Linked DNA regions of Anolis sagrei. The protein of the gene in region 1 interacts with the protein of each later gene in a biochemical or structural test. Links are inferred from orthologs where the notes say so. Each region holds a gene or a part of one and is shown in the gene's direction. Other genes may lie near its edges. The genes, in order: RET, GRB10, TLN1 and LRRK1.

Region 1 (7,825 bases):
CCGGATTATAATTTGAAAAAAATATATGAATGAATTCCTATGCACACTGCACACATCTTAATTGTAGTGCAAAAAAAAAAAAAACAACACTTAAAAACAACACATTAATTAAAATGAAGAACAATTTTAACAAATATAAACTTATTAGTATTTCAATAGGAAGTGTGGGCCTGATTTTGTCTGATGAGATAGGATTGTTGTTGCTGTTGGGTACTTTCAAGTCATTTCAGACCCTGAGTGAGGGCAGGGTTAATGACCTTGGAGAGCCATATCCGGCCCCCGGGCCATAGTTTAAGGACCCCTGGGTTAGAAAGACATGGATGTTGCACTCTTTGGCAGAGAACTACAACTCACAGAATTCCATTGAATTCAGCCAGGGCAGTTCAAGTGGCAGCAAACTGCATTAAATGGACAGTGTAGATGCACAGATGGGGCGGGGGGGGGGGGGGGGAAGAACCATGCATATTTCTGAATGAAAGCAATGAGATAGCAGGTTGAATAGCTAAATTTGTGCGCCAGTTGCACCCCTACCTTGGGAAGTCTGATCTGGCCACAGTGGTCCACGCTCTTGTTACATCCCGAATAGATTACTGCAATGCGCTCTACGTGGGGTTGCCTTTGAAAACTGTTCAGAAACTTCAACAGGCGGCAGCTAGATTAATCACCGGAGCGTCATACAGGGAACATACCACCCCTCTGTTGTGTCAGCTCCACTGGCTGCCGATCCACTTCCGAGCACAATTCAAAGTGCTGGTTTTGACCTATAAAACCCTATATGGCTCCGGCCCAGCGTACCTGTCCGAACGTATCTCCTTCTATGTCCCACCTCGGAGTTTAAGATCTTCTGGGGAGACCCTGCTCTTGGCCCCGCCTCTATCACCAGTGAGGCTGGTAGAGACGAGGGACAGGACCTTCTCAGTGGTGGCCCCTCGCCTGTGGAACTCACTCCCTGGGGAAATTAGGTCCTCAACATCCCTCTTCTCCTTCAGAAGGAAGCTGAAACATGGATATGGGACCAGGCTTTTGGGTAATCTGGCACACTGACAAGGTAATGACGACCAGAACTTGGAAAGGACTATGGTAATGCTGAATGGACTTACAGATTTTAGAACTTGGTGAACGTTGGCCACTAGATTGGCTTTTTAGTTGTTATTGTATTAATTGAGTGTTTTAACTATTGTGGTTATTGTTGTTATGTATTTTATCTGTTGAACTGTTGGCATCGAATTGTGCCAGTTGTAAGCCGCCCTGAGTCCCGTCCCCCCCCCCCCCAGGAGGTTGAGAAGGGCGGGGTAGAAGTGCCCGAAATAAATATAAATAAATAAATAAACTACAAGCAAGCAACTCCTGGGGGTATGTGTGTGTGTGTATATATTATGTATATATATAGATAGATATAGATATGGGGAGATATATAGATATGGGGAGATATATATATATATATATATATATATATATCCCTATCAATGCATTCATGCACCCATCAATTCACAGGAGTTGCTTGCTTGCAGTTTAGGAATTCAATTGCAGTATATAAGTGTATGTCTGTTGGAAATGCTTCCCTCTCCCCCTTGAGCTACAAGTTTTGGCTTTGTGTTGTGTGACTCTGAGCTGCAGTGCTGGGACCCCCAACGCAGAAAGTTCATCAAACTCTTTCTTGCAAAGTAATAATCCTAATTAAAAAAAACCTTCTCCCAGTGGGACCGATGCTTTGTGGGCTGGTGTTGGGAAGCTTGTTGTGCTCAAGAAGGGGAAGCGTCTGCGGCGTGAAAAAGCTTCCCTTCCGCATGCGTCTTGAGCTGAGAGGCTTTTAGCCGGGTATTGATGGCTTGCTGGGAAAGCATATGGGTTGCTCCAAGTTTTTTCCATCCTCATTTGTGGTTCAAATATTGTGCTCCTAAGCGAGAGGCATCTCACGTCGAAGGATACTTTGGGTGCCGGCCAAGCAGCTTGCCTCGCCTTCAGCGTCTTCTTTTCACTGTCAAAGGCAGGCAGAGAAGGGGGCGGCTAGTACCTAAATACCCCCCAAAGGCCACAGATTCCCATGTGGAAGGGCCCTTAGATAACCCAGTTCAAACCAATACTGTGGATCAGGGATCCTCAAACTAAGGCCCGGGGGCCGGATGCGGCCCTCCAAGGTCATTTACCTGTCCCTTGCTCAGGGTCAACCTAAGTCTGAAATGACTTGAAAGCACACAACAACAACAACAACAACAACAACAACAACAACAATTCTATCTCATCAACCAAAAGCAGGCCCACACTTCTCATTGAAATACAAATAAGTTTATATTTGTTAAAATTGCTCTTCGTTTTAATTATTGTATTGTTTTAAAGTGTCTTTTGTGCTACAAATAAGATATGTACAGTGTGCATAGAAATTAATTCATGTTTTTTTCAAATTATAATCCGGCCCTCCAACAGTTTGAGGGACTGTGACCTGGCCCTCTGTTTAAAAAGTTTGAGGACCCCTGCTGTGGATTATCGGCCATGAGATTCTGGATTATATGATTCATTGAATCATTGAATCAAAGAAGCAAAGAGTTGGAGGAGACCTCATGGGCCATCCAGTCCAACCCCCTGCCAAGAAGCAGGAATATTGCATTCAAATCACCCCTGACAGATGGCCATCCAGTCTCTGTTTAAAGGCTTCCAAAGACAGAGCCTCCACCACACTCCGGGGCAGAGAGTTCCACTGCTGAACGGCTCTCACGGTCAAGAAGTTCTTCCTCATGTTCAGGTGGAATCTCCTTTCTTGTAGTTTGAAGCCATTGTTCCGCGTCCTAGTCTCCAGGGAAGCAGAAAACAAGCTTGCTCTCTCCTCCCTGTGCCTTCCTCTCACATATTTATACATGGCTATCATATCTCTTCTCAGCCTTCCCTTCTTCAGGCTAAACATGGCCAGCTCCTTAAACCGCTCCTCATAGGGCTTGTTTTCCTGACCCTAGGGCTGGAATTCTCCAGATTCCAAGGGTCCCTTCACACAGCTGTGTAAAATCCCATATTATCTGCTTTGAATTGAGTTACACAGCAGTGTGGACTCAGGGCACTTTCACACAATCATGTAACACAAGATGTCAAGGTAGACAATTCCACAATATCTGCATTGAACTGGGTTATCTGAGTCCACACTGCTGCATATCCCAACTGAAAGGAGATAATATGGGATTTTATTCAGCTGTGTGGAAGGGGCCCCAGACAACCCAGTTCAAGACAGATTTTATGGGATTCTCTGCCTTAGTATTATTTATTTATTATTTACTAGCCATCCCCTGCCATGCATTGCTGTGGCCCAGTCTGTTGATCTGGAAAATAAAGTAATGAGAAAGTGTTGGTTTCTAATATATGTAATTTCTTTATGCTTGTGAATAAACAGTATTTCTTGCTGTTTCTTTGTCAGTGTTGATGTGGAGAGTGTCTGGTTTGTCCACCCTGGAACATGCAACATATCATTGTCCTTCTTTAAGGGTCCCTTTCAAATCTATGATACTATATCTCTATGTGTGTTGATCATATCTATCATCTATCTATCTATCTATATCTATGGCTGGATGGCTCTTTGTCAGGAGGACTTTGATTACCCTTTCTTGCCCTGATGAAGGAAGTTGGATTGGATGGCCTTAAGTATTTCCTGTTGGTCATAGGGGTTCTCTGCGGGAAATTTGCCCCAATTCTGTTGATGGAGTTCAGAATGCTCTTTGATTGTAGGTGAACTATAAATCCCAGCAACTACAAATCCTAAAAGTCAAAATCCATTGTTTTGAGTGATGGTCACTCCTTGGGATAGTAGGTATATTGTTTCCAAATTTGGTGGCAATTCACCCAGTGGTTTTTTAGTTATGTTAATCCCACAAACAAACATTACATTTTTATTTATATACTAGCCGACCCCTGCCACACATTGCTGTGGCCCATTCTGGTGGTCATGGGGGTTCTGTGTGGGAGGTTTGGCCCAATCTATTGTTGGTGGGGTTCAGAATGCTCTTTGATTGTAGGTAAACTATAAATCCCAGCAACTGCAACTCCCAAATGTCAAGATTCTATTTTCCCCGAATTCAACCAGCATTCACATTTGGGCATATGGAGTATTCAAGGCAAGTTTGGTCCAGATCCATAATTTAAGGTTGATAATCAGTGCACAGTGATCTCTGGATGTAGGTGAGCTACAACTCCAAAACCAAAGGACACTGCCCACCAATCCCTTCCAGTATTTTCTGTTGGCCGTGGGAGAACCGTGTGCCATGTTTGGTTCAATTCCATAGTTGGTGGGGTTCAGAATGCTCTTTGATTGTAGCTGAACTATAAATTCCAGCAACTACAACTCCCAAATGACAAAATCAATTTTTTTTGAATGAAGGGCATACATTGGGTTGTTAGGTGCCTTGTGTTCAAATTTGTTGTCAATTCGTCCAGTGGTTTTTGAGTTCTGTTAATCCCACAAACGAACATTATATTTTTATTTATATAGAAGATTTACGACATTAGGGGCAACGATTCGATGCCCAGTCTGGGTCGAATGGCTGTGTGGAAGGGCCTCATGACCCAAGCTTGGGCAACACCGCCCTGCGGCATAGAGATGGCCCATGCAAAATCCGAAGGGCCTCTTTCACCCATCAGCGTTGACCCTGTATGTAGGTGTCCACATCCTGGAAGGTGCGCGCGCTTGGGACTTCCCTGCTGCAATTCAGAGGAGGGGGCCTGGCGCGAGCCCTCCCCTCCTTCCTGCTCCCTGCCGCGCGCGCTGCACTCGTACTGGCAGTGGCTCCACTCCTTTTTCCAAGCCTCGCGCGCCCTCCTCCTCTTCCTCTCCTCCTCCCCGCTTTCTTGAGCGCGTGCTGCACTTTACTCATTAACTACAGCGGCGGGGCGCAAGTTGCCCATTGGCTGCCGGGAGAGCGCCCTCAGCAGCCGAAGAAGAGCTCATTGGGACCGAGGCGGCGGCGACAGAGGAGCATCCTCGACGCCTCTTGTTTGTTTCGGGGCGGGAAAAGTGCTTCTGGTGGCGGAGAAGAAGAAGAAGCGCTCGCGTCGGACCTTGTTTCCTCCCTCTTTCTTCTCCAGAACGCGACGAAAGCGCTTCTCCGCCGGGCGCCTTGTCTCGCGCCGAGACGGACTGATTGGCGTTTCTCTTGCGACGCGAAGCCATGAGGCGCCCGGCCTGAGGGACAGGCAATCTCTCTCTGGCACGCGCGCGGACTCGGGGACCCGTTCCCACTTTGGAGAGGAGCTTCGAAGGGGAATCCCTGGGATTATCGCGTGGAGGGAAAGGATGCCGCCCGCCCGATGGGCCCTCGGGGTGGTGGCCCTGCTGTGTCAGGGTAAGTGGCTCACAGAAGGAGAGAGAGAGAGGCCTGAGGTTCATCCCTCTCTTGGGTCGTCTCCTTGCCATGCCCCTCCCCACGATTTCTGGGGCTCAGCAGCCAAACACCTGCTTAAACGAGCGCACACAAAAAGGTTCCCCTTCCTCTTGGCTTGTTTGTGGTCTTCGACGTTCTTGGATGGGGAGCAAACCTCAAAGTGCAAACCCAAGAGCCTGTCCGCTACTTACGAACAAGATCGGCGCTCTAGGTTGAATTTGTAAGCCGGAAGTGGTTCGATTACAATGTTATGTGAGTTTTCCTGGCTGTCTGGCCATGTTCCAGAAGCATTATCTTCTGACGTTTTGCCCACATCTATGGCAGAGGTTGGGGGATCTGTTGGAAACTAAGCAAGTGAGGCTTATCTAATCTATCTATCTATCTAAATAAATAAAAATGTAATGTTTGTGGGATTAACATAACTCAAAAACCAGTGGGCGAATTGGCACCAAATTTGGACACAAGACACCTAACAACCCAATGTATGTCCTTCACCAAAAAAAAAAAAAAAGATTTGGGAGTTGTAGTTGCTGGGATTTATAGTTCACCTAAAATCAAAGAGCATTCTGGGTTTGGTGAGCACAGGCATGTAGCGGGGGGGGGGGGGGGGAGCTTGGAGGGCTTCAGCCCCCCCCCCCCCCGCCCCCGAAATTCTCATGGTGGTTCGAGAAAAGGCCTTATTGGTGCATTATTTAAACTGTTATGTTTATTCATATCTTGATCTGATCACCATGCTCAATATATCCCATATGCATTGGGGTATTGGGGTAACTACACAAAACGTTTGCTAAGGTAGACCCTCTTTCACTCAGACTCAGCCCCCCCCCGAACCCCAGCCCCCCCCCCCCCCGAACCCCCTCTGAAAAAAACTCACCCCCCCCCCCCCATGGCAGAGGTTGAGGGATCTGTTGGAAACTAAGCAAGTGAGGTTTATCTATCTATCTACCTGTATAAATAAAAATGTAATGTTCGTTTGTGGGATTAACATAACTCAAAAACAAGTGGGCGAATTGGCACCAAATTTGGACACAAGACACCTAACAACCCAATGTATGTCCTTCACTAAAAAAAATGATTTGGGAGTTGTAGTTGCTGGGATTTATAGTCCACCTACAATCAAAGAGCATTCTGGGTTTGGTGAGCAGTGTCCTTTGGTTTTGGAATTGTAATTCACCTACATCTAGAGAGTACTGTGGACTCAAACAATCATCATCATCATCATCCTCTACATCATCTAATAACTTATTAATCGCCCTCCATCCGAGAATGCTCAAGGCGATGATCTGGACCAAACTCTACATGAATACTCAATATGCCCAAATGTGAACACTGGTGGAGTTTGGGAAAAATAGAAACTTGACATTTGGGAGTTGTAGTTGCTGGGATTTGTAGTTCACCTACAATCACAGAGCATTCTGACCCCACCAACGATAGAATTGGGCCAAACTTCCCACACAAAACCCCAATGACTACCAGAGTGGGCCACAGCAACGCGTGGCAGGGGACGGCTAGTATATAAATAAAAATGCAATGTTCGTTTGTGGGATTAACATAACTCAAAAACCAGTGGGCTAATTGGCACCAAATTTGGACAGCATACACCTAACAACCCAATGTATGTCCTTCACTCATTTTTTTTTATTTTGTCATTTGGGAGTTGTAGTTCTTGGGATTTATAGTTTACCTACAATCAAAATATTCTGAACTCCACCAATGACGGAATTGAACCAAAGGTGACACACAGGACTCCCATGAGCAACAGAAAAGACTAGAAGGGTTAGGTGGGCATTGACCTTGAGTTTGGGAGTTGTAGTTCACCTACATCCAGAGAGTACTGTGGAGTCAAACAATGATGGATGTGGACCAAACTTGGCACAAATATTCCATATGCCCAAATATGGCTGTGGAACACCCTTCCCACAGAAATTAGATCGGCCCCCTCCTTGTTCACATTTTTGAGGAAAGTGAAGACCTGGTTGTTTGAGCAGGCATTTGAATAGGCAGTGTAACTAATATAGAAATATGGAACATTTGGATGATGAGACTGGATCTTGATTTTAACTATGAGACGAGATGAGATGTTATAATGTTTATTGATTGTTATAATGTTATTCTTTTAGCTTGTTTTTAACTGTTTTTTATCATGTTTAAGTATTGTACTTGCTTTGTTAACAGCTCTGAGTCGCCCTGAGGGCTGACAAGAGCGGAATACAAATATAGTAAATAAATAAATAAATAAAAAATATCAACACAGATGGAGTTTGGGGAAATAGACCTTGACATTTGGGAATTGTAGTTACTGGGATTTATAATTCACCTGCAATCAAAGAGCATTCTGAACCCCACAAACGACAGAATCTGGGCAAACTTCCCACACAGAATCCCCATGAACAACAGAAAATACTTAAGGCCATCCAGTCCAACTCTCTTCACCAGGGCAAGAAAATGTAATCAAAGCCCTCCTGACA
Region 2 (7,302 bases), on another chromosome or scaffold:
TAAGGTTGGCTCTGCATCTTGTGTTCCCAGAGCGCAGTCTGTTCAGTGCCTTCCAAGTCACCCAGTCTTCTGTGTGCCCAGGAGGGTGTTTCTCATTCGGTATCAGCCACTGATTGAAGTTCTGGGTTTCAGCCTGCCACTTTTGGACTCTCGCTTGCTGAGGTGTTCCTTCGAGCATCTCTGTAGATCTTAAGAAGCTGTTTCTTGATTTAAGACGTTAGCATGCTGGCTGATATCTGAACAGAGGATGGGCCGAAGCTGACAATGCCTTGGTCTTTTCATTACTGGTTGCTACTTCCTGGGGGATATCAGGTGGTGCAATACCAGCTAAACAGTATAATTTCTCCAGCGGTTTAGGAGACATCCTATGATAATGTGGCATATCTCATTAAGAGCCACATCCACTGTTTTAACACGGTGGAATGTATTCCACACTGGGCAGCAAAGTAGCAAAAGCAGATGTCTTCACTGTAACTGGTTGTGATCCCCAGGCTGTGTCAGTCAGCTTTTGTATGATATTATCTGTATCACACACTTTTTGCTTGATAATCAAGCGAGTGATTGTGAGTGGAAACTTGTGAGAAATCTGTGCAGCCTGCCAACTAGTGGTTATTTTAGGAATTTACATGAATCAAGGAGAAAAAAATAGAGTCGTGCCAACTTGAAGCTATAAGCCAGGCATGAAAAATGTTGGAAGTTGTCTTCCATGCTGCAGGATCAAATATTCTGCCAAGATTTCATATGTATCCATCTCATTGGTATGCAAATTGGCTTTTGCCTTTGACACAGAGTAAAAATGATATGCAATTGTTTGGAAAGAAATCTATGATTTATGATCAGTAAAGGTTTCATTTATATGTACCAGGCATGAGCAAACTTTGGCCCTCCTCCAAGTGTTTTGGACTTCACCTCCTACAGTTTTGAATTGTGTGAGTTGAAGTCCAAAACACCTGGAGGACTGAAGTTTGCCCATGCCTGCTCTATAAGCTAGCTAGCATTGCCCCCCCCCCCCCCCCGGATGTGCTATGGGAAGTTGTTGCCAACTATGAGAGAAATAAGGTTGAACACTGTGAAAGCCATCCACTGCATGGCTCTCAGCCTCCTCCCAGTAGGCTCAAATCAAGAAAAAGTTTCAGGAGAACCACTACTCGTCCTAATGTTCCTCCAGCAACAGGCTATTCCAGTTAGGTGGCCCCCCACGAGGGTCTTCCTCCAGGGGCAAACCAAGAATGGACAAGTCGGAAGTCCCTGAACAGACTCAGAAGTGGAGTGGGCAGATCAAAAGACAACATGGCTAAATGGCACAACCTAGAAGAATCCTCCACCTTGTGTGATTCGAGGAGCAGGACAAACAACTCAGCACCTATATGCAGGGGCGGCTCAACCCATTACGCAAAGTAAGCATTTGCAGTATAGTTGATTTTGCCCAGGGGAGCTCTTGAGGCGCTCTTGGGGGGGGGGGGGGGAATAGATCTTGACATATGCGAGTTGTAGTTACTGGGATGTATATTTATTTGTCGTGTCAGAACAACCAGTCAAATTATATAACATTTCTAACAGAACCAGTCAAATTATATTACATTTCTAACAGAACTGGGATGTATAGTTTACCTACAATCAAAGAGCATTCTGAACTCCATCGATGATGGAATTGAACCAAATATGGCACACAGAACTCCCACAACGAACAGAATATATATATATATATATATATATATATACCAGTGATTGGTTGGGGGGGGGGGGCACCAAAATACTGTTTGCTTACCGTTGAAAATTACCTAGGGTCGCCTCTGCCTATGTTAGTCCACAATGCCCTGCCTCATGCACAAAGGAAGAACTGTTTAAAACCACAGATAATGCAGTAGCTGTTGCCTGTTTTTGGTCTAAAATTATTTAGCCGTGTTGGAAATTACAACCTTCTTAAAACCTCCTCTAGTAAATTGATCATCTACAATCCTGTTGCTTCCTCATTGGATGTATGTTCTGCTATGCAGCTTTCTTTCTTTGCTCTATGTTTTTCCTGAGAAGTTGTGGGAGGGGCTGCAGACCACATGATCCACTCTGGGCCGAGCACAGACTTCTTTAGAGTTTTGGACTGCTCAGATTGCATACTTGCAAATGCTTGTGGATTATTATGAGAGGTGTTCTGACCGGATCGGACAGAAACTATCTCAAACATATCTGTAACTGACTGATAAATTGTGTATGCTGAACAAATGAAGGTTGTGATTAAACCAGATGTTATTATTATTATTTTTTTACCAAAGTCTACTTTAATGTGTCTCTAGTATGCATACTATAAAACAAGTTGTTTATGGGAGAGTAGACCCTTTGGAAGAACTGCTATTTTAATGCACCGGCATATTCTCTGTTTCCTATCAGATCAGAGACAAAGGTCACTCAGTCTAATAACTGAAGCCAATCACCTTGCATATTACCTTTGGTTGCATTCCATTTGAGAGGATTCTACTCAAATGAGTTTTTGGCTCTTTTCTAAAACAGTGTTTCTCAACCTGGGACCCCTGCAGAGGTTGCGAGGGGGTTTCAGAAGGGTCATCAGAGATCATAAGAAAACATATTTCTGATGGTCTTAGGAATCTTTGGCAGAGAAGGCTGAAGAACTCTCTGCCTGTTCTTCTCTTCCTTTTTGGAAACAGACAGCGAATTCACCCACCAAAAGCTGTGATTGGCCAGCCTCTCAGCCAAGGGGAGGGCTGTTCCTGGAGGACCATCATAGAATCAAAGAGTTGGAAGAGATCTCATGGGCCATCCAGTTCAACCCCCTGCCAAGAAGCAGGAATATTGCATTCAATTCACCCCCGACAGATGGCCATCCAGCCTCTGTTTAAAAGCTTCCAAAGAAGGCGCCTCCACCACCCTCCGGGGCAGAGAGTTCCACTGCTGAATGGCTCTCACAGTCAGGAAGTTCTTCCTCGTGTTCAGATGGAATCTCCTCTCTTGTAGTTTGAAGCCATTGTTCCGCGTCCTAGTCTCCAGGGAAGCAGAAAACAAGTTTGCTCCCTCCTCCCTGTGGCTTCCTCTCACATATTTATACATGGCTATCATATCTCCTCTCAGTCTTCTCTTCTTCAGGCTAAATATGCTCAGCTCCTTAAGCCTCTCCTCATGGGCTTGTTCTCCAGACGCTTGCTTCAGTGCTGGTGGTCTTTACTTCTTCTGCACGCTGACGTAACCCTTTCCTTACTTCTGATAAGAGACATTTTGGATATCAACTCCCTGATTTATTAATCATTGGCCATGTAACGAGGGCTTCTACATCAAAGGTAGTTAGAGAAGTACTAATTAGGAGCCACATCCACTGTTTTAGCATAGTGAGATGTGTTCCACACTGGGCATGCATACTCAGCAGCAGACTAGCACAGCGCAAGGGCAGATGTCTTCACTGTATCTGGTTGTGATCCCCAGGTTGTGCCAGTCAGCTTTCGTATGATATTGTTTTTGGCACCCACTTTTTGCTTGATGTTCAGGCAGTGCTTCTTGTAGGTAAGAGCACGATCCAGGGTGACTCCCAGGTATTTGGGTGCCCTATGCAGTCAGTGGTTCCCTTGATGTATGGCAGGAACACTTTTCCTGTGGGTGGATCTTCGTCTTTATTCTCGTGACTTGTTCTTGTTCTAGCAGCTCTACTTCAAACAAGGACATCTAATCACCTCTCAACAAAAGATTGCTCCAGGCACTGCCAGGCCATCAAAGGCTAATCAAGGTGGTCAGTTGAAACATTCACACTTAGCTCCAGCAAACAAGAGTTCTTTGTCTCTCCCTGGTCATGCCACAGATATATAAACCCATTTTCCTATTTCCAACAGACCTCACTACCTCTGAGGATGCTTGCCATAGATGCAGGCGAAACGTCAGGAGAGAATGCCTCTAGACCATGGCCATACAGCCCGAAAAAACCTACAACAACCCAATGATTCCGGCCATGAAAGCCTTCGATAATACTCTCTGCTTCATTCGGAAAATGCTGCACTCGCAGAGCTCAGGCGGTGTTGTATTGAGGTATAGAGCTAGGGCGGTGTAGACATTTCCCCTGGCGGAAAAGGGGCGGGGAAAGTTGGAAAGAGGCATATTTCCTCAGAAGCCACTCCGCCATGCCCCTTGAGGGACCCAGGCCCTCTTTTCCCGACGTCTGAGGGACTTCCCGAGCGAGCCTGAATCCCGAGCCAAACTTGGCCTCGGCTCCGGCGCGAGCTGCGACTGCGTGCGCGAGCGGCAGAGGGAGAGAGGGAGGGACCGTGGGCGGGGCTAGCGCGCCCCGGAGGGGGAGGGGCCATCGCCTGAGGAGAGAGAGGGAGCGAGAGAGAGGGAGAGAGGGGTGGGCGAGTCAGCTGGCGCGAGGCTTCCCAGGCGGAACCTTCCTTGAGGAGGGGCGCCAGACCAGACGGTTCCCTCCGTCTCCTTCCCCTTCGTTTCCCCAGGAAAGAGTTCCCGGAGAGGGCAGGCGCCCTTCCTTCCCCTCGCGCTGCCAAGTCCAGGCTGCGAGAAACTTAATCAGCTCAGGAGAGGGAGGTGCAGGCGGAAAGGGAGGCCACGAGGAGGAGGAGGAGCGGGAGCCGAGCGCGCCGCTCACTCCCTCAATCACTCTCTGACTGACTTTGCAGGTAAGTCACCCGTCGCGGAGGGGCTTGACAGGAAGCAGGAGGGGCGCGCGCGCGCAGGGCGTCGTGGCCCTTTCCCTCCTCGCGCGCAGTTCGCACGGGACGAACTTTGGGAGTTGTTTCTGCGGCTCGCGAGAGGACGCCAGGCGCGTGCCTTCTCGGGAGCAAAGAGAGAGAGTGTGTGTGTGTGCGCGCGCTCGGGGAAAGGGTGGTTCTCAACTTGCCCCCCTTCCTTTCCCTTCCCTTGCGCTTCGTGAGGGGCGTGCAAACTTCCCTTCCCGGCCGGAGCTTGGGTGCCCTCTCCACATTGCATCATAAACCAGGGTGGAGCCAGCCTTTTTCCTCCTCCTCCTCCTCTCTCCCTTCCTCCCCCTCCCCTCCCCCTCCGCCCCTGGCCTTAAGCAACGAGCTCTGAGGGGCTTGCCCGGCTCTGCCAATCAGGGGCGGCGGTGGCGGGCGCGCGCTCCCTTTCGCCTTTCTCCTGAAGGGAGGGAATGCGGCGCGCGCGCGTGTACTGAGGGGAGGTGAGGGGAGGGGGGAATCGAATGTGGGCACTTCCCCGGATTTAAGGAGGAAGGACGGAGCCAGGACTTCTGCACCCACCCGGTAATGCAATGCACGCCTCGTATAGCTGTTCTTTCAACTTTGTAAAGGCGATGCCAAGGTGGGTCTGCTTGGTCTCGCTCCCATTGTGCTGGTGGCGTCTTCCCCCAAAAGAGTGAGGAATGCTTTGCAAAACTTTCCAGCGTGCGGGGCTGGAAGAGCCAGGGCAAACTCTGAGGCAAGGCCTGGGCTGCTTTGATCACCCCCGAGGAGGATTGGCCACCTTCCCTCCAAGAGTGCAGGGAAAAAAGGAACCACTGGTTGCTTTGAGGGAGGAATCTTCTTCTTTCTGGTCCTGTGACAGCTGTTGATTCCTTCTGCCTTCGCTTTGGTGTCTGTGTCTCCTTCGAGCCCCTGTTTCTGAATTCTCCCACTTGTTACATGCTGATTTCTACTTGTTGCATCCTTTGGTCCTTCCACTTAAAGAGAGAGCAGCCCAGTCTCTTCTTTTCACTCTTTCTGTGTATTTTGCATACACTGCCTGAAGTGAAGATGACCAGTGCAGGTTAACATTTATTCCTGACTGAGAGCCGTTCATCTGTGGAACTCTCTGCCCAGGCATGTAGCCGGGCATGTAGCCGAAAATCTCATGGTGGTCCGCAAGAAGGCCTTACTGGTACATTATTTAAACCAGTGATTCTCAACCTTCTTAATGTCACGACCCCTTAATACAGTTCCACATGTTGTGGTGGCCCCCAAGCAAAAAATTATTGTTATTGCTACTTCATATCTGCAACTTTGCTACTGTTATTATGTAAATATCTGATATGCAGGATGTATTTTCATCACTGGATCAAATTTGAATACTGGTGGGGTTGGGGGGATTAATTTTGTCATTTGGGAGTTGTAGTTTATAGTTCACCTACAATCAAAGAGCATTCCGAACTCCACCAACGATGGAATTGAAGCAGACTTGGCACACAGAACTCCCATGACCAACAGAAAATACTGGAAGGGTTTGGTGGGCATTGACCTTGAGTTTGGGAGTTGTAGTTCACCTACATCCAGAGAGCACTGTGGACTCAAACAATGATGGATCTGGACCAAACTTGGCATGAATACTCAGTATGCCCAAATATGAACACTGGTGGAGTTTGGTGAAAATAGAGTTTGCCATTTGGGAGTTGTAGTTGCTGGGATTTATAGTTCACCTACAATCAGAGAATTATGAACTGCACCAATGATAGAATTGGGTGAAACTTCCCACACAGGACCCCCATGACTAACAGAAAATGTTGTGCTTTCTGATGGTCTTTGGCGACCCTTTTAAAACCCCCTCGTGACCCCTCCAGGGGTCCTGACCCCCAGGTTGAGAACCACTGATTTAAACTGTTATGTTATTCATATCATGATCTGATCACCATGCTCAATATATCCCATATGCATGGGGTTATTGGAGTAGCAATACAAAAGGTTTGCTAGGGTAGACCCTCTTTCACTCAGACTCAGCCCCCTGCCACGAATCAAACTCCCCCCCCCCCCCCCGAATCAAAATCCTGGCTACGGGCCTGTCTGGGGCAGAGGCAGTCCCGTAGCCAGGATTATGTTTCGGGGGGAGCTGAGCTTGATTCGGGGGGGGGGGGGGCGAGTCTGAGTGAAAGAGGGTCTACCCTAGCAAACCTTTTGTAAAGACCCTCTTTCACTCAGACTCAGTCCCCCCCCCCCCCCTTTGAATCAAACTCAGCTCCTGGCTACGGGCCTGTCTCTGCCCCAGGGAGGCCTGTAGCCAGGATTTTGATTCGGGGAGGGGGGGGGCTGAGTCTGAGTGAAAGAGGGTCTACCCTAGCAAACCTTTTGTATTGTAACACCAATACCCCCATATTGAGCATGGTGATCAGATCGTGATATGAATAAACATAACAGTTTAAATAATGCACCAGTAAGGCCTTCTCGAGGGCCACCATGAGAATTTGGGGGGGGGGGGCGGCTAAAGCCCCTCAAACACCCCCCCCCCCCGGCTACATGCCTTGGCCCCAGAGTGTGGTGGAGGCTCCTTCTTTGGAAGCTTTTAAACAGAGGCTGGATGGCCATCTGTCATAGAATCCTAGAGTTGGAAGAGACCTCATGGGCCATCCAG
Region 3 (6,951 bases), on another chromosome or scaffold:
AAGACACAAAGTAATACTAGGAAGAGAAAAATTTACTATTAAGTGATACTTTATTGGGTTTTCTCAGCCTGTCACTGAACATTGAGAAAACCAAGGTGCTTTTCCAGCAGTCGCCAGCCAACCTCTCTCCAATGCCAGAGATACAGCTTAATGGTGTAACATTAGAAAATGTTGACCATTTCCGCTACCTTGGCAGCCACCTCTTCACCAAAGTCAACATTGACACCGAAATACAACACTGCCTGAGCTCTGCGAGTGCAGCATTTTCCCGAATGAAGCAGAGAGTGTTTGAGGACCGGGACATCCGTAGGGAGACCAAGGTGCTTGTCTATAAAGCCATTGTCTTCCCAACCCTGCTCTATGCCTGCGAAACGTGGACTGTCTACAGACGTCACATGCAATTCCTGGAACGATTCCATCAGCGCTGCCTCCGGAAAATCCTGCAAATGTCTTGGGAAGACAAGCGGACAAACGTCAGTGTGCTGGAAGAAGCAAAGACCACCAGCACTGAAACGATGGTCTTCTGCCATCAACTCCGCTGGGCCGGCCACGTTGTCCGGATGCCTGACCACCGTCTCCCAAAGCAGTTGCTCTACTCCGAACTCAAGAACGGAAAACGGAATGTTGGTGGGCAGGAAAAGAGATTGAAAGATGGGCTCAAAGCCAACCTCAAAAACTCTGGCTTAGACACTGAGAACTGGGAAGCCCTGGCCCTTGAGCGCTCCAACTGGAGGACAGCTGTGACCAGCAGTGCTGCAGAATTTGAGGAGGCACGAATGGAGGGTGAAAGAGAGAAACGTGCCAGGAGGAAAAAGGCGCGTCAAGCCAACCCCGACCGGGACCGCCTTCCACCTGGAAACCAATGCCTTCACTACGGAAGAAGATGCAGAGCAAGAATAGGGCTCCACAGCCACATACGGACCCACAAGGAAATCCAGAATGGAAGACCATCTTACTCGTCCAACGAGGGATCGCCTAAGTAAGTAAGTACTTTATTGGGGTATTTGATACAATGTTAGGAAGGGGAAGAAAGTGAAGCAAAAAGAAGGTTTCTTGATTGTAGCTGCTGCTGTGGCCACGTTCCATAGAAGTTGGCCCAAGCAGACGATAGAGAACTGTGGAACTCTCTGCTGCAAGTCAGAGTTCTGGGTTCGTTGACCTCAGGTACAAAGATGTGCCAATGCACAACAGATATAGCAGATCTTCAGAAGATCCTCCAGAGCCCACTACTGTCACCCTGGGTGCCAGGACTGTCTCTTAAGACAGTCCGTTTCAAAAGTCCTACTAGAGGTCATATCATTATTTTAATGGCTTTGCATTACTGCAAAACAGCGCAAAGGGATGACATTGGGATGCATTGGGAAATAGCCGAGAAAAGATTAGGAAACTCGGCAGGACCTTTGGCCGAGTGCATGTTAGCCCTGGACTGCTTTAGAGATGTATTACTTACTTACTTACTTAGGCGATCCCTCGTTGGCCGAGTAAGATAGTCTTCCAGGATCAGAACTCTTGTGAGTCTGTAGGTGGCTGTGGAGCCCTATTCTTGACCTGCATCATCTCCCGCAGTGAGGCCATTGGTTTCCGGGTGGAAGGCGGTCCCGGTCAGGGTTGGCTTGACGTGCCTTCCTCTTGGCACATTTCTCCCTTCCGCCCTCCATTCGTGCCTCTTCAAATTCTGCAGCACTGCTAGTCACAGCTGACCTCCAGCTGGAGCTCTCAAAGGCCAGGGCTTCCCAGTTCTATGTGTCTATGCCAGAGTTTTTAAGGTTGGCTTTGAGCCCATCTTTCAATCTCTTTTCCTGCCCTCCAACATTCCGTTTTCCGTTCTTGAGTTCGGAATAGAGCAACTGCTTTGGGAGATGGTGGTCGGGCATCCAGACAACGTGGCCAGTCCAGCGGAGCTGATGGCGGAGGATCATCGCATCAATGCTGGTGGTCTTTGCTTCTTCCAGCACGACATTTGTCTGCCTGTCTTCCCAAGAGATTTGCAGGATTTTCCGGAGGCAGCACTGATGGAATCGTTCCAGGAGTTGCATGTGACGCCTGTAGACAGTCCACGTTTCGCAGGCATAGAGCAGGGTTGGGAGCACAGTAGCTTTATAAACAAGCCCCTTGGTATCCCTATGTATATCCAAGTCCCCAAACACTCTCTGCTTCACTCGGAAAAATGCTGCACTCGCAGAGCTCAGGTGGTGTTGCATTTTAGTGTCAATGTTGACATCTGTAGACTGTCCACCTTTCGCAGGCATATAGCAGGGTTGGGAGGACAATAGTTTTATAGACAAGCCCCTTGGTCTCCCTACGGATGTCCCGGTCCTCAAACACTTTCTGCTTAATTCGGGAAAATGCTGCACTCGCAGAGCTCAGGCGGTGTTGTATTTAGGCGTCGATGTTGACTTTGGTGGAGAGGTGGCTGCCAAGGGAGCGGAAATGGTCCACATTTTCTAATGTTACACCATTAATCTGTATCTCTGGCATTGGGGAGGGGATGGCTGGTGACTGATTGAAGAGCACTTTGGTTTTCTCGATGTTCAGTGACAGGCCGAGCTTCTTATAAGTTTCTGCGAAGGTGTTTAGAGTGGCTTGTAGGTCTTCTTCTGAATGCGCACAGACGACGTTGTCATCAGCATACTGGAGTTCTATAGCAGATGTTGTTGTAACCTTGGTTTTGGCTTTCAGTCTGCTGAGGTTGAATAGCTTGCCATCTGTCTGAGAGATGATTTCCACTCGGGTGGGAAGCTTCCCATCAACAAGGTGAAGTATTATAGCAATGAAGATGGAGAATAAAGTTGGGGCAATAACACATCATCCCTGTTTGACACCCGATTCCACCTTAAATGGGTCACTTTGGGAGCCATTGCAGTGCCAAAACTGTTGCCATCATGTCATCATGGAGGCGCCGTGATGACATGATGGCATGAAAAAATTTTGTGAGTGGAGCTGACACAGCAGGGGGGTGGTGTGCTCCCTGTATGTCGCTTTGGTGAGCAATCTGGCTGCCGCTCGCTGGACCAGTTGAAGTTTCCGAACAGTCTTCAATGGCAACCCCATGTAGAGTGTATTGCAGTAGTCTATTCGGGGGGGGGGGGGATGTAACAAGAGCGTGGACCACTGTGGCCAGATCATATATATATATTAAGGCTGGGTAACAACGGAAAAATTTGTTTCTAAACTCGTTTCGTTTTTAGGGTTTTTTTGCGTTTCGATTTTTAAAAGAATTCCGAAATTTTTCTTTAAAAAAATTCGAAATTTATGAAATTTCGTAAATTTCAGATTGATTAGTTAATGGCGGACGCAATTGCGCAATATGCAAAAAAAACCCCTCCAAATATGCTAAAAATATGCTGAAAAATGCGAAAATAATTACGAAACAATTTCAAAACAATTTCGAAACTATTATGAAACAATTACGAAACAAATTGAAAAAATCGTTTCGATTTTTAATTACTCCTGCATGGCTCAATATCGGATCGTAAGCTAATTTAAATATGAATTAATAACGAATTACGAAATTAACGAACGAAACCGCCCAGCCCTAATATATATATATATATATATATATAGATAACATAAATATTTAATAATTATAATAATGTAATGTAAGAAAATAATAAATTAATAATATGATATAACAAATACAATATTTAATCATAATAATATTTTCCTTTTTCCTTTTCCTCTTTTTTTTCCCCTTTAAAAGCTGTTGCTAAATAAATACATGTTGCAGTACCCCAAAAGTCCCTCTAGGGGGCGGCCGTTTCCTTCCCCTTTTCCCCCACCCGCAAACAAGATGGCGCTGTGGTCTGCCCGCCGCCCCCCCCAGCATGGCGGCGAGGAGGCGGGCCTCTCCCAAGATGGCGGGAGGGAGGCGGCGGGAGGCTCTGGGCATGCGCGGGGCAGGGAGGGAGGGAGGCGGGGCGCCAGGAGGCGGGGCTTGAGGGAGAGGCTGCGCTGGCCACGCCCCTTCGGCCAGAGCCAAAGCCGACGCCTCAAGAGAGAGAGAGAGAGTCCCCAGGTAGGAAGGGAGGAGGGGAGGGGAGGAGGGGAGGGGAGGGGGGCTTTGGGGGGCGTCCTCAGGCCTATTTTGGGGTTGGGGGTGCCTCTCTCTTTGGGGTGAGGAGGGGGCGGGGGTCCCTCTCTGAGGGGGGGGGGGCTTTGGGGGGTCCAAAGAGCCATTCAGGGGTCACTAAAGTCAGGCTGGGGCTTTCAGGCAGGCCTGGGCCCACTTGGGCCTTCCCTTCAAGTGTTTGGGACTACAACTCCCAGAATTCCTCACAGACTCAAGCCCTTTCCTCCCCCCCCCCCCTCCCAGCCACTTAAGCAACTAGCAGAAACTTTTTGGAATAAACTCAGTAATAATAGTAATAATAATAATGTGTGTTTCAAACAATAATAATAATAATAAAGTTTATTTGTAGCCCACCCTACCTCCCCAGGTGGACTTATGACAGAATGTATAATAATAATAGTAATAATAATAATAGTTTCTGTTTCAAATAATAATAATAATAATAATAATCTTCATTTCTAGCCCACCCTACCTCCCCAGGTGGACTTATGAAAGAATGTATAATAATAATAATAATAATAATAATAATTTGTGTTTCAAATAATAATAATAATAATAGTTTGTGTTTCAAATAATAATAATAATAATAATAATAATAATCTTTATTTGTAGCCCACCCTACCTCCCCAGGGGGACTCATGAAAGAATGGGGGCACTTTCTAGAATAATAATAATAATAATAATAATAATAATTTGTGTTTATAATAATAATAATAATAATAATTTAAAAAACTTTATTTGTAGCCCCCCCAGGGGGACTCATATAATAACAATAATAATAACAATAATAATAATAATAATAATAATAATTTGTGTTTCAAATAATAATAATAATAAACTTTCTAGCCCACCCTACCTCCCCAGGGGGACTCATGAAAGAATAGAATGGGGGCACTTTCTATAATAATAATAATAATAATAATAATAATTTCTGTTTCAAATAATAATAATAATAATAGTAATAAACTTTATTTGGAGCCCACACTACCTCCCCAGGGGGACTCGTGAAAGAATGGGGGCACTTTGTATAATAGTAATAATAATAATAATAATAATAATAATAATTAATATTATTATGGAACAAACTCCCAAAGGAGGTAAGATCTGCTGCCTTATGACCTTTAGAAAAAAATTAAAATCATGGTTCTGGGACACTTTCTATTATTATTATTATTTGAAACACAACAAGATGAGTCCACAGCAGACACTCTGCTGGCTGTTGTAGTGGATCACACGTCGGACACTTCCCAGGTGTCTAGGACTGTGTGATGTATCGGCGAATAATGTGTGCATATCCCAATAAGGTGGCCTTTTGCATCTGGCAGGTGATAATTTTGTCAGCACCAATTGTGTTTAAGTGCACGCCAAGGTCTTGAGGAACTGCACCCAGCGTGCCAATCACCACTGGGAACCCCTTGACTGGCTTGTGCCAGAGTCTTTGCAGTTCATAGAATCCAAGAGTTGGAAGAGACCTGGGCCATCCAGTCCAACCCCATTCTGCCAAGAAACAGGAATATTGCATTCAAAGCACCCCTGACAGATGGCCATCCAGCCTCTGTTTCAAAGCTTCCAAAGAAGGAGCCTCCACCACACTCCGGGGCAGAGAGTTCCACTGCTGAACGGCTCTCACAGTCAGGAAGTTCTTCCTCATGTTCAGATGAAATCTCCATGTAAAGTTCAATCTTTAAATCCTCATATCGTGTCAGCTTTTCCATTTATTATTATTATTATTATTATTATTAGAAACACAACAAGATGAGTCCACAGCAGACAAGATCACTCTGCTGGTTGTTGTATTGGATCACACATCGGACACTTCCCAAGGGTCTAGGACTGTGTGATGTCTTGGCAAATAATGCATGCAGATCCCAGTAAGGTGGCCTTTTGCAGCTGACCGGTGGTGATTTTCTCAGCGCCGATTGTGTTTAAGTGCAGGCCAAGGTCTTGAGGCACTGCACCCAGTGTGCCAATCACCACTGGGACCCCCTTGACTGGTTTGTGCCAGAGTCTTTGCAGTTCGATCTTGAAATCCTCGTAGCATGACAGCTTTTCCAGTTGCTTCTCTTCAATCTTGCTGTCGCCTGGGATTGCAACATCAACGATCCATACTTCATTTTTTAATATGATCATGAGGTCAGGAGTCTTGTGCTCCAAAACTCTGAATTTGGAAGTCCCAGAGTAGCTTGACGTGTTCATTCTCTGTTACTTTTTCTGGCTTGTGATCCCACCAGTTCTTGTCGCTGGCAGATGGTGTTTGTGGCACAAGTTCCAATGGATCATCTGAGCAAGGGTGTTGCGCCTCTGCTTGGAGTCTGTCTGCGCGATCTTCTTGCAGCATCTGAGGATGGGATCTATTGTTTCATCTGCTTCCTTGCAGAGTCTACATTTGGGATCTGTCATTGTCGACTTTTCATTTATTATTATTATTATTATTATTATTATTTATAACCCGCTTTATCTCCCCAAAGGGGACTCAAAGCAGCTTGACATGAAACCATTAGTATATAATTTAAAATATAATAATAATAAAATTTTATTTCTATCCCATCTTATCTCCCGAATGGGAACTCAGAACGGTTCAATCAATCAATCAATTGAACTTTATTTATATACCACCACCCCATCTCCTCATGGGTACTAGAGGTGACTTACAACATAAAAGGCAACCATTCAATGCCATAAAAATACACCATAAAATTTAAAATACAGATAAATAGTTGCTGCTGTGTGTTGTGAACCCCTCTGATTCCCCATTGGGAAGATAGGGTGGGATAGAAATAAAGTTTTTATATTGTTATTATTATTATTATTATTATTATTATTATTATTGTCCCTTGGTGGCACGATGCATTAAACCCTTGTGATGACAGGACTGCTGGCTG
Region 4 (6,938 bases), on another chromosome or scaffold:
TTAGCCTGAAGAAGAGAAGGCTGAGAGGGGATATGATAGCCATGTATAAATATGTGAGAGGAAGCCACAGGGATGAGGGAGCAAGCTTGTTTTCTGCTTCCCTGGAGACTAGGACGCGGAACAATGGCTTCAAACTACAAGAGAGGAGATTCCATCTGAACATGAGGAAGAACTTCCTGACTGTGAGAGCCGTTCAGCAGTGGAACTCTCTGCCCTGGAGTGTGGTGGAGGCTCCTTCTTTGGAGGCTTTTAAGCAGAGACTGGATGGCCATCTGTCAGGGGTGATTTGAATGCAATATTCCTGCTTCTTGGCAGGGGGTTGGACTGGATGGCCCATGAGGTCTCTTCCAACTCTTTGATTCTATGATTCTATGTTCAGTGGGATTTTTTTGTGTGTGTCAGAAGCGATTTGAGAAACCGAAAGTCGCTACTCGTATGAGGGAATTGGCCGTCTGCAAGGACGTTGCCTAGGGGACATTGCCTGGATGTTTTGATGTTTTACCATCCTTATGGGAGGCTATCTCATGTTCCCACATGGGGAGCTGGAGCTGACAGAAGGAGCTCATCCACGCTCTCCTCGGATTCGAACCTATGACCTGTCAGTCTTCACTTCTGTTGGCACAAGGGTTTAGAATCATAGAATCAAAGAGTTGGAAGAGACCTCATGGGCCATCCAGTCCAACCCCCTGCCAAGAAGCAGGAATATTGCATTCAAATCACCCCTGACAGATGGCCATCCAGCCCCTGTTTAAAAGCTTCCAAAGAAGGAGCCTCCACCACACTCCGGGGCAGAGAGTTCCACTGCTGAATGGCTCTCACAGTCAGGAAGTTCTTCCTCATGTTCAGATGGACTCTTATTTCTTGTAGTTTGAAGCCATTGTTCCGTGTCCTAGTCTGATTACTTTGCAACCAGTTCCTGTTCTGTTTTTGCAGCCCTTGAAATAATAATAATAACAAAAAACAGGATGTGTCTGTCCAGGTCTCATTTCAAAGGAGGTTTAAGTGTAATTTTGGGGAAAACCCGAAACTGTCTTTATGACATTTCCAGAGGCATTCGCAACAGGCTTTCCCCATTTTTATGCCATGAAAAGGAAGTAGTAGCAGACAAAGAGAATAAAGAAGAGAAGGAGGAGAAATACTGCATTTACTCCATTCGAATGCTCACCTTTTTTGGACTAAATTACCTTCCCAAAATTAGGGTGCACGTTAGATTCGTGGAATATGATGGATCCTGTTTTGGGTTTCAGGGTTTTGGAAATTGAGGTGTGCATTAGATTTGATGCTATATTGGACTTGAGTAAATGCAGTAATGGACAAGGAAGAACAGAAGGAAGAACAACTAGAAGTAGTGGAGGAGGGGGGTGAAGAGGAGGAGGAGGAGAAATAGTAGCAGTACTGGAGGAAGAAAAGAAAAAAGACCAGGCAGAAGTAGTAGGGAACAAGAGAAAAAACAAGTAGTAGCAAAGGAGTTAGTACTACTAGTAGTAGCCACTTTGAGACTTCTTTGGAAAGAAAAAGCAGTAGTAGACGAAAAGAATTAAAAGACAGAAGAATAAGTAGTAGTAGAGGAGAAAGATGTGGAAGAACAAATAGGAGTTAGTACCTACTAGTAATACAGGAAAAGGAACATGTATTAGTCATAGAGGAGGAGGAAGAAAAGAAATGAGAGCAGTAGTAAGGGAGAAAGGGGATAAGGAACTAGAGGAGAAACAGTAGTTATTGGAGGAGGGAAAGGAGGAAGACCAGGTAGCAGTAGTAGGGGAGCAGGAGGAAGAACAAGTAGTAGCAAAGGAGGTAGTACTAGTAGTAGTAGAAAAGGATGAGGAGGCAGAAGGCAAAGTAGAGGAGGAGAAAGAGGTGGAAGAAGTAGTAGTACGCTTGGTGGAAAGAAAAAGACAATGAGAGACAGGAAGAGGAAAAAGCTAGTAGCGGAAGGCAAAAGATGAGAGGTAGAACCTACTAGTAGTGCAGGAAGATGAAGACACATTCATCATGGCAGAGAAGAAAGAAGAAAAAGAATAAGAATAGTAGTAGTAAGGGAGGAGGGGATAAAGAAGAAGAGGAGAAATAGTAGTACTGGAGGAAGGAAAGGAGGAAGATTAGGTAGTAGTAGGGGAGCAGGAGAAAGAAGTCGTTACTACTAGTAGTAGAAAAAGATGAAGAGACAGAAGAACAAGTAGCAGTGATTAAAGAAGTTGGAAGAACTAGTACTGTAATAGTACTTTTGGTGGAAAGGAAAGAACAAGGAGGGGTTGAGAGACAGGAAGAAGAAACGCAAGTACCTGGATTTCAGGAAGGCCTTCGACAAGGTCCCCCATGACCTTCTGGCAAGGAAACTAGTCCAATGTGGGCTAGGCAAAACTACGGTGAGGTGGATCTGAAATTGGTTAAGTGGACGAACCCAGGGGGTGATTCTCCCCAATGCTTCCTCTTCATCCTGGAAAGAAGTGACAAGTGGAGTGCCATAAGCAAGGTTCTGTTCTGGGCCCGGTCCTGTTCAACATCTTTGTTAATGACTTAGATGAAGGGTTAGAAGGCAGGATCATCAAGTTTGCAAACGACACCAAATTGGGAGGGATAGCCAATACTCCAGAGGACAGGAGCAGGATTCAAAACGATCTTGACAGATTAGAGAGATGAATGCCCAAAACTAACAAAATGAAGTTCAACAGGGACAAATGCAAGATACTCCACTTAGGCAGGAAAAACGAAATGCAAAGATACAGAATAGGGGACGATGCCTGGCTCGAGAGCAGTACGTGTGAAAAAGATCTTGGAGTCTTTTTGGACAGCAAGTTAAACATGAGCCAACAATGTGATGTGGTGGCAAAAAAAGCCAATGGGATTTTGGCCTGCATCAATAGGAGCATAGTGTCTAGATCCAGGGAAGTCATGCTACCCCTCTATTCCGCCTTGGTTAGACCACACCTGGAATATTGTATCCAATTCTGGGCACCACAATTCAAGAGAGATATTGACAAGCTGGAATGTGTCCAGAGGAGGGCAACTATAATGATCAAGGGTCTAGAGAACAAGCCCTATGAGGAGCGGCTTAAGGAGCTGGGCATGTTTAGCCTGAAGAAGAGAAGGCTGAGAGGAGATATGATAGCCATGTATAAATATGTGAGAGGAAGCCACAGGGAGGAGGGAGCAAGCTTGTTTTCTGCTTCCCTGGAGACTAGGACACGGAACAATGGCTTCAAACTACAAGAGAGGAGATTCCATCTGAACATGAGGAAGAACTTCCTGACTGTGAGAGCCGCTCAGCAGTGGAACTCTCTGCCCTGGAGTGTGGTGGAGGCTCCTTCTTCGGAGGCTTTTAAACAGAGGCTGGATGGCCATCTGTCAGGGGTGCTTTGAATGCAATATTCCTGCTTCTTGGCAGAATAGGGTTGGACTCGATGGCCCATGAGGTCTCTTCCAACTCTAGGATTCTATGCTGGAAAGAATATCATATGAAAGCTGATGGGAACAACCTGGGGGTCACAACCAGACACAGTGAAGGCATCTGCCCTTTTGTTTGGCTACTCTGCTGCTGAATACGCATGCCCAGTGTGGAATATATCTGGATGGTCATCTGTCAGGGGTGATTTGAATGCAATATTCCTGCTTCTTGGTAGAATAGGGTTGGACTGGATGGCCCATGAGGTCTCTTCCAACTTTATGATTTTATGATTCTAAGTAGTAGTAGTGAAAGGCAAAGAAGAGAGATAGTACATAATAGTAGTGCGGGAAACGGTACTAATAGGGAAGAGAGAGAAGTAGTAACAGTGGAGGTGGAGAAGGGGAAGGAAGCAGGAAGAAGGAAAAGGAGATTAGAATTCGTCCAAAGGAGAGGAAGCACTACTAGCAGCAGCTTCTGAGCCACGAGCGCCGCGATTCCGCTTCTGGCCTCCAGAGGGAGCGCTCGAGCCGGCTCTTCCGCTTTGCTTGGGCCACCCCTTTCTTTCTTTCTTTCGTCCTTCCTTCCTTCTTTCCTTCCTCCTTCTTTTTTCCTCCTCCTTTCCTCCGAAGACAACCAACCGCACCTGGAACCCGGGAGCGGAGGGAAAGAAAACTCCCAGAAAAGCCACTTTTCCCGGTCCTGGCGGGGTGAGCATTAAGGATACAGTGTTGCAAAGTTTGCAAACTTCCCCTGTACTAGGTTGTTGTAGGTTTTTTCGAGCTATATGGCCATGTTCTAGAGGCATTCTCTCCTGACGTTTCGCCTGCATCTATGGCAAGCATTCTCAGAGGTAGTGAAGTCTGTTGGAACTAGGACAATGGGTTTATATATCTGTGGAATGACCAGGGTGGGACAAAAGACTCTTGTCTGCTGGAGCTAGGTGTGAATGTTTCAACTGACCACCTTGATTAGCATTTGATGGCCTGGCAGTGCCTGGAGCAATCTTTTGTTGAGAGGTGATTAGCTGTCCCTGATTGTTTTCCCTCTGTTGTTTTGCTGTTGTAATTTTAGAGTTTTTTTTTAATACTGGTAGCCAGATTTTGTTCATTTTCATGGTTTCCTCCTTTCTGTTGAAATTGTCCACATGCTTCTAGTGGATTTCAACGGCTTCTCTGTGCAGTCTGACAGGGTGGTTGTGAGAGTGGTCCAGCATTTCTGTGTTCTCAAATAATATGCTGTGTCCATTTTTTAACAATCAAACAAAACAAAACACAAAGTTTGCAAGCTTGGTAGTTGATTAAATGTCCTTTGACCAGTATCTGGCCACTTGGAGTGCCTCTGGTGTTGCCACAAGGAGGTCCTCCATAGTGCATGTGGCAGGGCTCAGGTTGCATTGCAGCAGGTGGTCAGTGGTTTGCTCTTCTCCACACTCGCATGTCGAGGATTCAACTTTGTGGCCCCATTTCTTGAGTTTGGCTCTGCATCTCGTGATGCCAGAGCGCAGTCTGTTCAGCGCCTTCCAAGTCGCCCAGTCTTCTGTGTGCCCAGGGGGGAGTCTCTCATTTGGTATCAGCCATTGGTTGAGGTTCTGGGTTTGAGCCTGCCACTTTTGGACTCTCGCTTGCTGAGGTGTTCCAGCGAGTGTCTCTGTAGATCTTAGAAAGATATTTCTTGATTTAAGTCATTGACGTGCTGACTGATACCCAAACAAGGGAAGAGCTGGAGATGTCACAGCCTTGGTCCTTTCACTATTTGCTGCTACTTCCCGGCGGATGTCAGGTGGTGCGATACCAGCTAAACAGTGTAATTTCTCCAGTGGTGTAGGGCGCAGACACCCCATGATAATGCAGCATGTCTCATTAACCGGAGTCAGTGCATGGAATATATGGATCAAGTCTCCAAAAGTTCCCCCCTCCAAAGTTCCCCCCTTCCATCTGAACATTAGGAAGAACTTCCTGACTGTGAGAGCCGTACAGCAGTGGAACTCTCTGCCCCGGAGTGTGGTGGAGGCTCCTTCTTTGGAAGCTTTTAAGCAGAGGCTGGATGGCCATTTGTCAGGGGTGATTTGAATGCAATATTCCTGCTTCTTGGCAGGGGGTTGGACTGGATGGCCCATGAGGTCTCTTCCAACTCTTTGATTCTATGAATGCGGGGTACCCCAAGGTGCAGTTCTCTCCCCTCTTCTTTTCAACATCTACGTTAGACTCCTTGCCAGTTTGGCTTGGAGATTTGGCTTGGACTGCTATCAATATGCGGATGACACCCAACTCCTGTTGCGCTTGGAGCCGGGAGCAACGACAATACCAGACAATTTCACCTTATGTCTGGAGGCTCTGTCGAACTGGCTACGTGCTAGTAGGCTGAAGGTGAACCCGGCAAAGACTGAGATTCTCTGGCATGGCCGCTCGATAGGTCTGACCCATTTGCTATCCACCTTTGATGGTGCTGCTCTATCTCCGCCTACCGTTAAGAGCCTAGGTGTCAGTTCTTGTGGGTTTTTTCGGGCTATATGGCTATATGCCTCTAGAACATGGCCATATAGCCCGAAAAAACCCCACAAGAACTGAGTTATTCCAGCCATGAAAGCCTTCGACAAGCCTAGGTGTCGTTTTGGATTCGCAGTTGACAATGGAAACTCAGGCCGCTGCTGCCAGCAAACAGGCCTTTTTCCATCTACGACAAGCGAGGCAATTGTTACCTTACCTATCGGATGAGGCGCTGGCAACAGTCGTCCATGCCACGGTCACATCTAAGCTGGACTATTGCAACGCCTTATATGTTGGCCTTCCGATGTCTACGACCCGAAAGCTCCATATTGTACAGAATGCTGAGGCCAGGTTAATCACAAAAATGCCTTTGAAATGTCATATAACTCCAGTGCTGCGGCATCTACATTGGCTTCCAATTGATTATCATGGTTTGTATAAGATGCTGGTCCTGACCTTTAAAACCTTATATGGCCAGGGTCCATTGTATCTTAGAGACCGTCTCTCCTTCTCCCATCATTGGAGGTTGCTACGACAATCTCAACGCGATTTGCTCTATATACCGGGTCCTAGAGAAGTGCATTTGGAAAGCACCAGACGCAGATGGGCTTTCTCCATTTCTGCCCCTGCCTTATGGAATTCCTTGCCACCCTATATGAGAGCCATGCGTCACTTAGGGCATTTTATCCTATCACTTAAGACCTGGCTTTTTACTAGAGCATTTGACTCATGTTAATTTATTAATATTTGTATGTATGTGTTTTATCCTGTATGTTGTTGTTGTTCATTCGTTCAGTCGTCTCCGACTCTTTGTGACCTCATGGACCAGCCCACGCCAGAGCTCCCTGTCGGCCGTCACCACCCCCAGCTCCTTCAAGGTCAGTCCAGTCACTTCAAGGATGCCATCCATCCATCTTGCCCTTGGTCGGCCCCTCTTCCTTTTACCTTCCACTTTCCCCAGCATCATTGTCTTCTCTAGGCTTTGCTGTCTCCTCCTTCAACTTTGTCTCTAGTCTCCTTCCCTCCAGTGAGCAGCCAGGCTTTATTTCCTGGAGGATGGACTGGTT

What was found.
Region 2: the proteins of RET (region 1) and GRB10 form a complex in vitro, tested with the Homo sapiens proteins (2 studies listed by BioGRID). The link is inferred for Anolis sagrei from reciprocal best matches to the Homo sapiens genes RET and GRB10.
Region 3: the proteins of RET (region 1) and TLN1 interact in a surface display test, tested with the Homo sapiens proteins (2 studies listed by BioGRID and IntAct, with this or other methods). The link is inferred for Anolis sagrei from reciprocal best matches to the Homo sapiens genes RET and TLN1.
Region 4: the proteins of RET (region 1) and LRRK1 form a complex in vitro, tested with the Homo sapiens proteins (2 studies listed by BioGRID and IntAct, with this or other methods). The link is inferred for Anolis sagrei from reciprocal best matches to the Homo sapiens genes RET and LRRK1.

What each region holds. Positions count from the first base shown.
Region 1 is NC_090023.1:154,104,457-154,112,281, forward strand, and holds the start of RET (proto-oncogene tyrosine-protein kinase receptor Ret), read left to right. Parts: upstream 1-4,805; 5' UTR 4,806-5,269; coding exon 5,270-5,318; intron 5,319-7,825. UniProt on the Homo sapiens protein: Receptor tyrosine-protein kinase involved in numerous cellular mechanisms including cell proliferation, neuronal navigation, cell migration, and cell differentiation in response to glia cell line-derived growth family factors (GDNF, NRTN, ARTN, PSPN and GDF15).
Region 2 is NC_090026.1:61,950,782-61,958,083, forward strand, and holds the start of GRB10 (growth factor receptor-bound protein 10), read left to right. Parts: upstream 1-4,301; 5' UTR 4,302-4,625; intron 4,626-5,175; exon of another isoform or gene 5,176-5,286; intron 5,287-7,302.
Region 3 is NC_090022.1:302,405,532-302,412,482, forward strand, and holds the start of TLN1 (talin-1), read left to right. Parts: upstream 1-3,927; 5' UTR 3,928-4,015; intron 4,016-6,951. UniProt on the Homo sapiens protein: High molecular weight cytoskeletal protein concentrated at regions of cell-matrix and cell-cell contacts. Involved in connections of major cytoskeletal structures to the plasma membrane.
Region 4 is NC_090029.1:13,127,615-13,134,552, reverse strand, and holds the start of LRRK1 (leucine-rich repeat serine/threonine-protein kinase 1), read left to right. Parts: upstream 1-3,936; 5' UTR 3,937-4,092; intron 4,093-6,938.